2 linked regions of the Neurospora crassa OR74A genome follow. The protein of the gene in region 2 purifies or fractionates together with the protein of the main gene of each other region. This does not show direct contact. Links are inferred from orthologs where the notes say so. Each region holds a gene or a part of one and is shown on either strand. Other genes may lie near its edges.

Region 1 (4,102 bases), on a different chromosome or scaffold from region 2:
ACTGATAGCACCGTTAACCTGTCGTGGAAGGATGATTGATTCATCTGCCTTGGGTAGGGTGATAGTGCTACCCGCCTGGCAAATCCACGGCTGTATTACACAGCACAGAAGGGAAGTCGACCTCCTGACCATGATGACTGATTTCAGAGGGCAACAAGAGAGAGAAGAGAAGAATGGGAGAGGAGGAAGAAATTTCTGAGCAAAATGCTACGCGTGTCAGCTTTCTACCCACGAAAAGGGCTAGCTCCCCTGAAGCGCCATCGAGACATGGTGGTAGGTGATGATCCTATAGGATCCGACTGTAATTATAAACGAGGTCGGGAGAGGTGAGCCACGGTAATATCACCGTGGACTGTCAATGGTGCCTGTTGACTGCTACCTGGCGGCTGCTCGGCCCCTTTCGTATCTTAGCGTACCCAAGGGTTGCATCAAGTCAGCACTACAGTAGGAGATAAGGCTGATCCCTACTCGTCGAGTAACAAGTAAAAGTGAGCCTGCTCAGAACAGAGAGGGTGATCACCGGAGAGCGGGCGTTTGTGCGATGCAGCACAGCCGCGAGTTTACCATCTGCTGGCTTGACTGACTGAGCCTGCGAGCGAGCGAGTTGTTTGATTGAGTTCCCCCGCGACAGGCGGATTCTTCAGGATAACCCGACGGTAACACAAAAAGGTATTTTGGTCGTGCTCGACACAGTGGGCTGAAACAGGATGGGGCGAGCAGGGTACGGTTCTTGAAGAACACCAAATGCTGGCATGAGTGGTAGGATCGACACAAGACCGAGCATTAGGACAGAGATGCGAGCAGGCTAATCAGAGCTAGCCAAAACTCAACGGCCAGCCGGCCACAGGTCGGAATCATGACTGGAGCCCAAGGGTAACGGAATCAAAGCTTGACGTCTCCCGAGGCGTCGATGGTGAGGGCAAGCATACGATGCTGAATAGGTACCTATTCAATTTCCATGTCGAGATGTCGCGATTCGCCAATGTTGTTTTTCATTCATGATCCGACGCCGCGGGAACATCACTGCACCGGGAAAACACTTGGTACATCCGACAATTTCGTGCTGACGGAACAAAGGTTGCAACTTGCAGCTTGGAGATGCAGTTTACCACGGCGGCCGCGGTGGCACGGTGAGGTAAGTGGTGATTGGCGTCAGCTCGTCGGCTACGCACCAGCTGGCAAGCAGCCTCCCGTCGTCTGTCAGCAGAGCTGCCCCCTGCCTTTCGATGGAGGGGAACGAGGTACCTGTCCTTTTCAACAACTGGAGGGGAGCAAATGACAACAGAGCCGCAAATCAGAAATTGATACTATCGCCTGTTGCAGTCGGCTTCCATTGCAGTAGAAGCGATTGGGGTATTTCTGAACATTTTGATCCCATCACCTTGTCGCAAACGACTTGACCGATTGCAGAAGAGCAGCGCGTCGTTAACTCTGTGATCTTGCGCAGGGCTTCCTGGACGACAGTCAACACTTTAAAGTGGACCTTGAATTTTCAGGAGCGTCGAAAAAGAGGTTCTTCAGTTCAGTTGTTGCATCTTCCTGGCGACACACCACAACTGGGATCCCGTCCATACCTTATTGCCTCCCCCCGCGGTATGTACTCGCACGGAGCCCGCTTTTCCCCCTAGCTTCCACATCTAGCCTCAGGTCCCGCCTGCCGCAAGACAGCTGCTGTGGACTGTGTGGTGGACGGTGGATGTCTCGAGTGTCTCGTGCGTTCCAGGTCTCGGAGCTAATGACACCTTGCACGTAGCCGCCCGACGACGTTGCCCGTTGCCCGCCGCCCGCCCCGTACCTATCTCTGGAGCTACCACCGCGTAGACGACGGATCATCCACATTAATTCCCTTAATCTTCTAATCCAACAAACCGCCGACACCACCATCACCCCTCTCCAGCTGTTCCTCTCTATCCCCGACTGCGACCATCGACCGAGGACGCCGCCGCCGACATCAACATGGATTACGAAGCCCTCAAGGAGCAATGGGGCGAGGTCGAGGACCGTGATGGCGTTCGTCTGAGCTGGAATGTCTTCCCCAGCACCCGCATGGTCAGTTCCGCTCTTTCGCATACTTGCTACTTCGCGTCACCCCTTTATCGCTGACCCTTTCTTCAGGAAGCTTCGAGACTCGTCGTCCCCATCGGCGCCCTTTATACCCCTCTCAAGGAGAAGCCCGACACGCCTCTGCTGCAGTTCGACCCCGTCAGTTGCAAGCAGCCCTGCCGCTCCGTGTTAAACCCCTACTGGTGAGCCATCTTCGTCGCCCCGACTTGTCGCGCCCATTGCTGATACCCTCGCCCAGTCAAGTCGATGTGCGCGCCCGCCTGTGGATCTGCCCCTTCTGTCTCTCGAGGAATCCTCTCCCGCCACACTACAAGGACATCACCGCAAATGCGATTCCACCCGAGCTGCACCCTTCCAACACTACCATCGAGTACAGGCTCTCGCGGCCCGCCCCCGCCCCTCCGATCTTCCTCTATGTCGTCGATACGTGCCAGGAGGAGGACAGCTTGGCTGCTCTCAAGGAGTCGCTCATCATGAGCTTGAGCCTATTGCCCGAGCACGCCCTTGTCGGCCTGATTACATACGGCACCATGGCCCAGGTCCACGAGATTGGCTATACCGAGTGCCCTAAATCATATGTTTTCCGCGGTAACAAGGAGTACGCGGCCAAGCAGGTCCAGGAGATGCTTGGGCTCGTACAACCTGCCATGCGTCCGGGCATGCCTATGCAACAGCCTGGCAGGCCCTTCCCGGCCGGCCCTGCCTCAAGATTCTTGCTTCCGGTCTCTCAGGCCGAGTTCCAGTTGACCAAGGCCATTGAGCAGCTTCAGAAGGATCCCTGGCCTGTTGCCGGTAACCTCAGAGCCTTGCGCTGCACCGGTGTTGCGTTGTCCGTAGCTGTTGGCCTGCTCGAAACGTCGTTCCAGAATGCCGGTGGTCGCATTATGCTCTTTGCTGGTGGTCCGGCCACTGAGGGACCTGGCATGGTTGTTGGCCCCGAGCTGAGGGAACCGATCCGCTCCCATCACGATATCGACCGTGACAACATCAAGTATTACAAGAAGGCACTCAAGGTACGTTCATCTTCAAGTTGTGGTGCAGGAAACAGTCTGTGTCATGCTAACATTTATTATAGTTCTACGACAACCTCGCTAAGCGAACGGCGCACAACGGCCACACTATTGACATTTTTGCCGGCTGTCTTGATCAAGTTGGTCTACTTGAAATGAAGGGTCTGTGCAACTCGACGGGTGGCCACATGATTCTGACGGACAGCTTCACCTCATCCATGTTCAAGCAGTCATTCGTCCGCATTTTCGAAAAGGACGCGGATGACAATCTGCTCATGGGCTTCAATGCGGTTTTGGAAGTACTTACAACGAAGGAACTCAAGGTTACTGGGTTGATTGGTCATGCAGTCTCTCTCAACAAAAAATCGACGTCCGTCGGCGAAACCGAGTGCGGCATAGGTAACACTTGCACGTGGAAGATGTGCGGTATCGACCCCAGCTCCAGCTACGGTATCTACTTCGAAATCGCCAACCAAGGCGGCCCGTCCCAGAACATGCAGAGTCCCCAAAAGGGAATGATGCAGTTCTTGACTTATTACCAGCACTCGTCTGGCCACTTCCACCTTCGGGTGACCACCATTGCCCGAAACCTCAGCGGCCCCGCCGGAGACCCGGCCATCGCGCAGTCATTTGACCAGGAGGCAGCAGCCGTGCTTATGTCGCGTATCGCTGTTTTCAAGGCGGAGGTTGACGATGGGCCTGATGTGCTCCGGTGGGTTGACCGCATGCTCATCAGGCTCTGCGCCAGATTTGCCGATTACCGCAAGGACGACCCGTCATCGTTCCGCTTGGAAAAGAACTTCACGCTGTACCCACAGTTCATGTTCCACTTGCGTAGGAGTCAGTTCTTGCAAGTCTTTAACAACTCTCCCGATGAGACCGCATTCTATCGGCACGTTCTCAACCATGAGGATGTTAGTAACTCGCTCATCATGATTCAACCAACGCTCGACTCCTACACCTTCGACCAAGAAGGCGGTGTCCCCGTTCTGCTCGACTCTACCTCCATTCAGCCTACCCACATCCTC
Region 2 (4,072 bases):
TCTTGGAAGCGATGTAGTTCAGGTCAACATCGGCAGCGACAGGGGTCTTGCGGAGCTGAGCCTTGAGAATACCGAGACGACCCGCCTCATCAGGAAGGGGAACGTAGATGAGGGAGTCGAGACGGCCGGGACGGCAGAGCGCTGGGTCGAGCTGCTCGGGACGGTTGGTAGCACCAATAACGAAAACATTCTTCTTGGAGGTCATGCCGTCCATTTCTATAGCTCAGGTTAGTATGCACAGCAGAATGGCACAAACCAAGGAAGAATCAACTTACCGGTAAGAAGCTGGTTAACAACACGGTCAGAAGCGCCACCAGCATCACCAACAGAGCCACCACGGGCCTTGGCGATAGAATCCAACTCGTCGAGGAAGACGACGCAAGGAGCAGCAGCGCGAGCCTTGTCGAAGATATCACGGATGTTGCTCTCAGACTCACCGAACCACATGGAAAGCAGTTCGGGACCCTTGACGGAAATGAAGTTGGCTGCGCACTCGTTGGCAACAGCCTTGGCCAACATTGTCTTACCGGTACCAGGAGGACCGTAGAAAAGAACACCGCGAGATGGCGAAAGGCCAAACTTGAGGAACTTTTCGGGATGGTCGACGGGGTACTGGACACTCTCCCTGAGCTCCTGCTTGACAGTCTCGAGACCACCGATATCCTCCCAGCGGACGTTGGGAACCTCGACAACGGCAACCTCGCGAAGAGCCGAGGGGTTGGAGACACCGAGAGCAAAGCGGAAGTTCTCTTGGGTAACACCAAGAGAGTCAAGGACCTCGGCGTCGATAGTGTCTTCGTCCAGATCGATGAGATCCATCTTCTCACGAATCTGCTGCATGGCAGCCTCGGAGCAGAGGGCAGCAATATCAGAACCAACGTAACCGTGGGTCTCAGCAGCAATCTGCTCGAGATCGACGTCATCGGCAAGCTTCATGTTCTTGGTGTGGATCTGGAGAATCTCAAGACGACCGGTAGGGTCGGGGATGCCGATATCGACCTCGCGATCGAAACGGCCGAAACGACGGAGAGCGGGATCGATCGAGTTGGGACGGTTGGTGGCAGCCATAACAACAACGTTGGAACGGGCCTTCATACCATCCATGAGAGTAAGGAGCTGGGAGACGACGCGGCGCTCAACCTCGCCGTTGGTCTTCTCACGCTTGGGGGCGATCGAGTCGATCTCATCAATGAAGATGATAGCGGGCGAGTTCTTCTCAGCCTCCTCGAAAGCCTTGCGCAAATTCGACTCGGATTCACCGGCCATCTTGGACATGATCTCGGGGCCGTTGATCAAGAAGAAAAAGGCACCAGTCTCGTTGGCAACAGCGCGAGCCATCAAAGTCTTACCGGTACCAGGAGGGCCATAAAGCAGGACACCACGGGGCGGCTTGATACCAATGGACTTGAAAAGCTGAGGATGCCTGAGGGGCAGCTCAACCATTTCGCGGATCTGAGCCATCTGCTTACGGCAACCACCAATATCATCGTAACCAACCTCGTTGAGGTTGTTCTCCTCCTCGTCACGCTGGATGGGCTCGCCCTCGCAGTGGATGACGGTATCCTGAGCGACAATACCGTACTCTGGTGGGTCCACCTCGACGACCTTGAACTCGACTTGCCTCATACCACCGCGGACAATAAAGAGATCGCCTTGCCTGACAGGGCGGTAGGCCTCGCGGAAGTAGGGAGCAAGGAAGACGTCGAAGAGAGATCCGGTGATGCCCTCAACGGTATCGGCGATCGGGAGGACGGCAATACGCTTGGCCTACAAGGAGATGCTGTGTCAGCAAGGTGCCCATTCTATGACTAGGTGACCGGGTTATAGACTAACATATTTGATATCGGGACAAGGGTGAATGGTGATGATGTCGCCGTGCTTGACACGGAGGTTGTGGCGAACGACACGGTTGAGGCGTGCGCTGCCATCGTCAAGATCGTCATCGGCAAGAACAATCAAGACGGTGTCCTTTCTCTTCTTTCCGCGGACGAGAACGGTATCACCACGGAAGAGCTGGAGCTGCTCCATGGTGTTGTTGGAGAGGGCGATAATCGAGTTATCATCGTTGACGGCGTCAGTAACCCTGCATATGTGTTAGCTCAGGTTGCAGTGCCCCGCATCTTCAACGTCAACCTACATCAACTGGTTGGGCTTCTTCTTCTTCTTGAGAATAGCAGTGGCGGTATCATCTTCCTGTTCCATCGGTCAGCACGAGTGGTTCTCGAGATGTCTTTGGCGGGCAAGCGAGGTTGAACATACGGCCTTGTGCTCGGCACCAGAAGCGTCCCTGTTTGGCTTCAAGTCAGCTTGGCGTCATTCGCGATGAGGGGGCGCGACAGCTTCGAGAGCTCCCGCGATCAGCGTCGCTGCTTCACGTACATCAAGTTGACCTTCTTCTTCTGCTCGACGTGGTCGGGATTAGGTTCGGGAGCCATCTTGACGTTTGTGTTGGAATCAGTAGAATAAATGTGGTATTTGGGTATCGCGGACGGTGATGCTAATCCACGGAGAGGATGTAGCGGGAAGAAGTGGTTTTGGAGAAAAAGAAACCAGAATTCGTAGCCTCAAGACCCGCTGATAAAGGGATTCTTTGGAGGTTGGACGGCGAGGTGAAGGTGAATGGTGTTGGGATGGAAACAAAAAAAAGGACCAGTCGGAGGGACGAAGTGCCTTTGCGTTTTGGTGTTGGAGTTGGTTTCGTTTACGTTCAGGTTGTCACGGCCAGGCATGGAAAGGACGGTTCGAGCCAAAGCAAGCAAGCAAGCAAGCACCGCTGCGCCGGCGAGTGGCACCGACCGCTTGCTCCCTCCAAGGCCAGCCAACCAGGGGCAAGCAGCTGGTGGCCAGCAGCTGGGGAGCGGCAACAGCAACAGCGGGCATCTGATTCAACTGTCAGTGTCACTGACTGACAAACCGCCCCGCCAGGCGACCATTTGGATGACGAAGTATGAGCGGAGCCTTTTCTGGGGCGACAAAGGTCCGTGCTTTTCGCCCATAGGTACACTTCCATTCTGCCACTCTGTCTGCTTCCATGCCCTGGCTGTTCCGGGCTCCAGGCACGCCTTCTGCCATCGCTCCGAGGATCTTCAGGTCGCCCGACACACCTGGTAAAGCAACGGTGCGGCCGGAACCTTCGAATGCGTTCTACAAAGCTGCTGACAGATCAAAGCTTCATCTTGTTTGACTTGGGGTTCGTTCCATTTCTTCAGTTCGAGATTTACAGTGAATCGAGGTTCGGATGCTGCAGCACCGCTCGAGCACCGATGTCCAGATGGCCAGGCTGTCAGGTCTCTCCAAGGAAGCGAGACATGCTGCCCTGGGATTTCCTATTTGCCCCTCCCCCGCAGTACGGACAACAAGGCGGTCAGTGGTTGTCGCATGCACCACCGGATGGCCTGTACAGAGGCCACAGGCCAACGATGCTGCTAGGTAGGTATCACAGAAAACGAAATGGAACAGGACAACACGCGGAAAGTTGGCAGGCTGCAACTGTCGTCTTATCGAGATTCGAGAGAGTCCGTTTGTCCGGACGTCGCAGGAACCCGCATGCCACTTTGGGTGGAGCAAGCGAGTGACAAGAGCAAACGACGACCCTCGACCCGACCGAGAACCGGGTCCTCAGGGGTTGTAGGACACGTCCCCGCCCGTGCTTATACGAGGCGCGCGCCGGCCATACGGCTCCGCCCCGGCACGCCGATACCCAGTACGTCCCGGAGTCTCTCCCCGGACTGCTCGGCGCCCGGCTGGAAGAAGGCGGGGCTAGAAGCCAGGGAGCTCGGTACCCTTGTAACGTACTACATACATACACTACAGTAGTGTAGTACCATGGGTGTTAGCTACCCCGCTGTACATGGTGACCCCAAAGACGCTGCGGCGCGCCGCCCACCTGGCCATTCAGAGTCCAAAGGGACCTCAAGGTCCCATAGTCCAATGCCTCCACGATCCGGATCCGATATACCGTTACTACCTACTGTACAACACGCATTGAGCCAGAATGGGGCTGGAGCTCGGAGGGTGTGGCATTTCCTTTCAGGCAACAGACTAACAATCAAACCAGCCTCGACTTCAACGA

Evidence for each region. Proteins that work in one complex are often made in the same cells at the same time.
Region 1: the proteins of NCU00018 (region 2) and NCU01318 purify together in Saccharomyces cerevisiae (affinity purification with mass spectrometry; 3 studies listed by BioGRID, with this or other methods). This does not show direct contact. The link is inferred for Neurospora crassa OR74A from reciprocal best matches to the Saccharomyces cerevisiae genes CDC48 and SEC23.

The regions. Positions count from the first base shown.
Region 1 is NC_026505.1:3,643,831-3,647,932, reverse strand, and holds the start of NCU01318 (protein transporter sec-23), read left to right. Parts: upstream 1-1,276; 5' UTR 1,277-1,593; intron 1,594-1,753; 5' UTR 1,754-1,956; coding exon 1,957-2,049; intron 2,050-2,115; coding exon 2,116-2,246; intron 2,247-2,302; coding exon 2,303-3,077; intron 3,078-3,139; coding exon 3,140-4,102. Other genes in the region: NCU01319 (hypothetical protein), read right to left, coding at 1-132. UniProt on the Saccharomyces cerevisiae protein: Component of the coat protein complex II (COPII) which promotes the formation of transport vesicles from the endoplasmic reticulum (ER).
Region 2 is NC_026503.1:2,304,898-2,308,969, reverse strand, and holds the start of NCU00018 (cell division control protein Cdc48), read right to left. Parts: upstream 2,866-4,072; 5' UTR 2,436-2,865; coding exon 2,380-2,435; intron 2,288-2,379; coding exon 2,260-2,287; intron 2,194-2,259; coding exon 2,138-2,193; intron 2,084-2,137; coding exon 1,834-2,083; intron 1,768-1,833; coding exon 276-1,767; intron 217-275; coding exon 1-216. UniProt on the Saccharomyces cerevisiae protein: ATP-dependent chaperone which probably uses the energy provided by ATP hydrolysis to generate mechanical force to unfold substrate proteins, disassemble protein complexes, and disaggregate protein aggregates.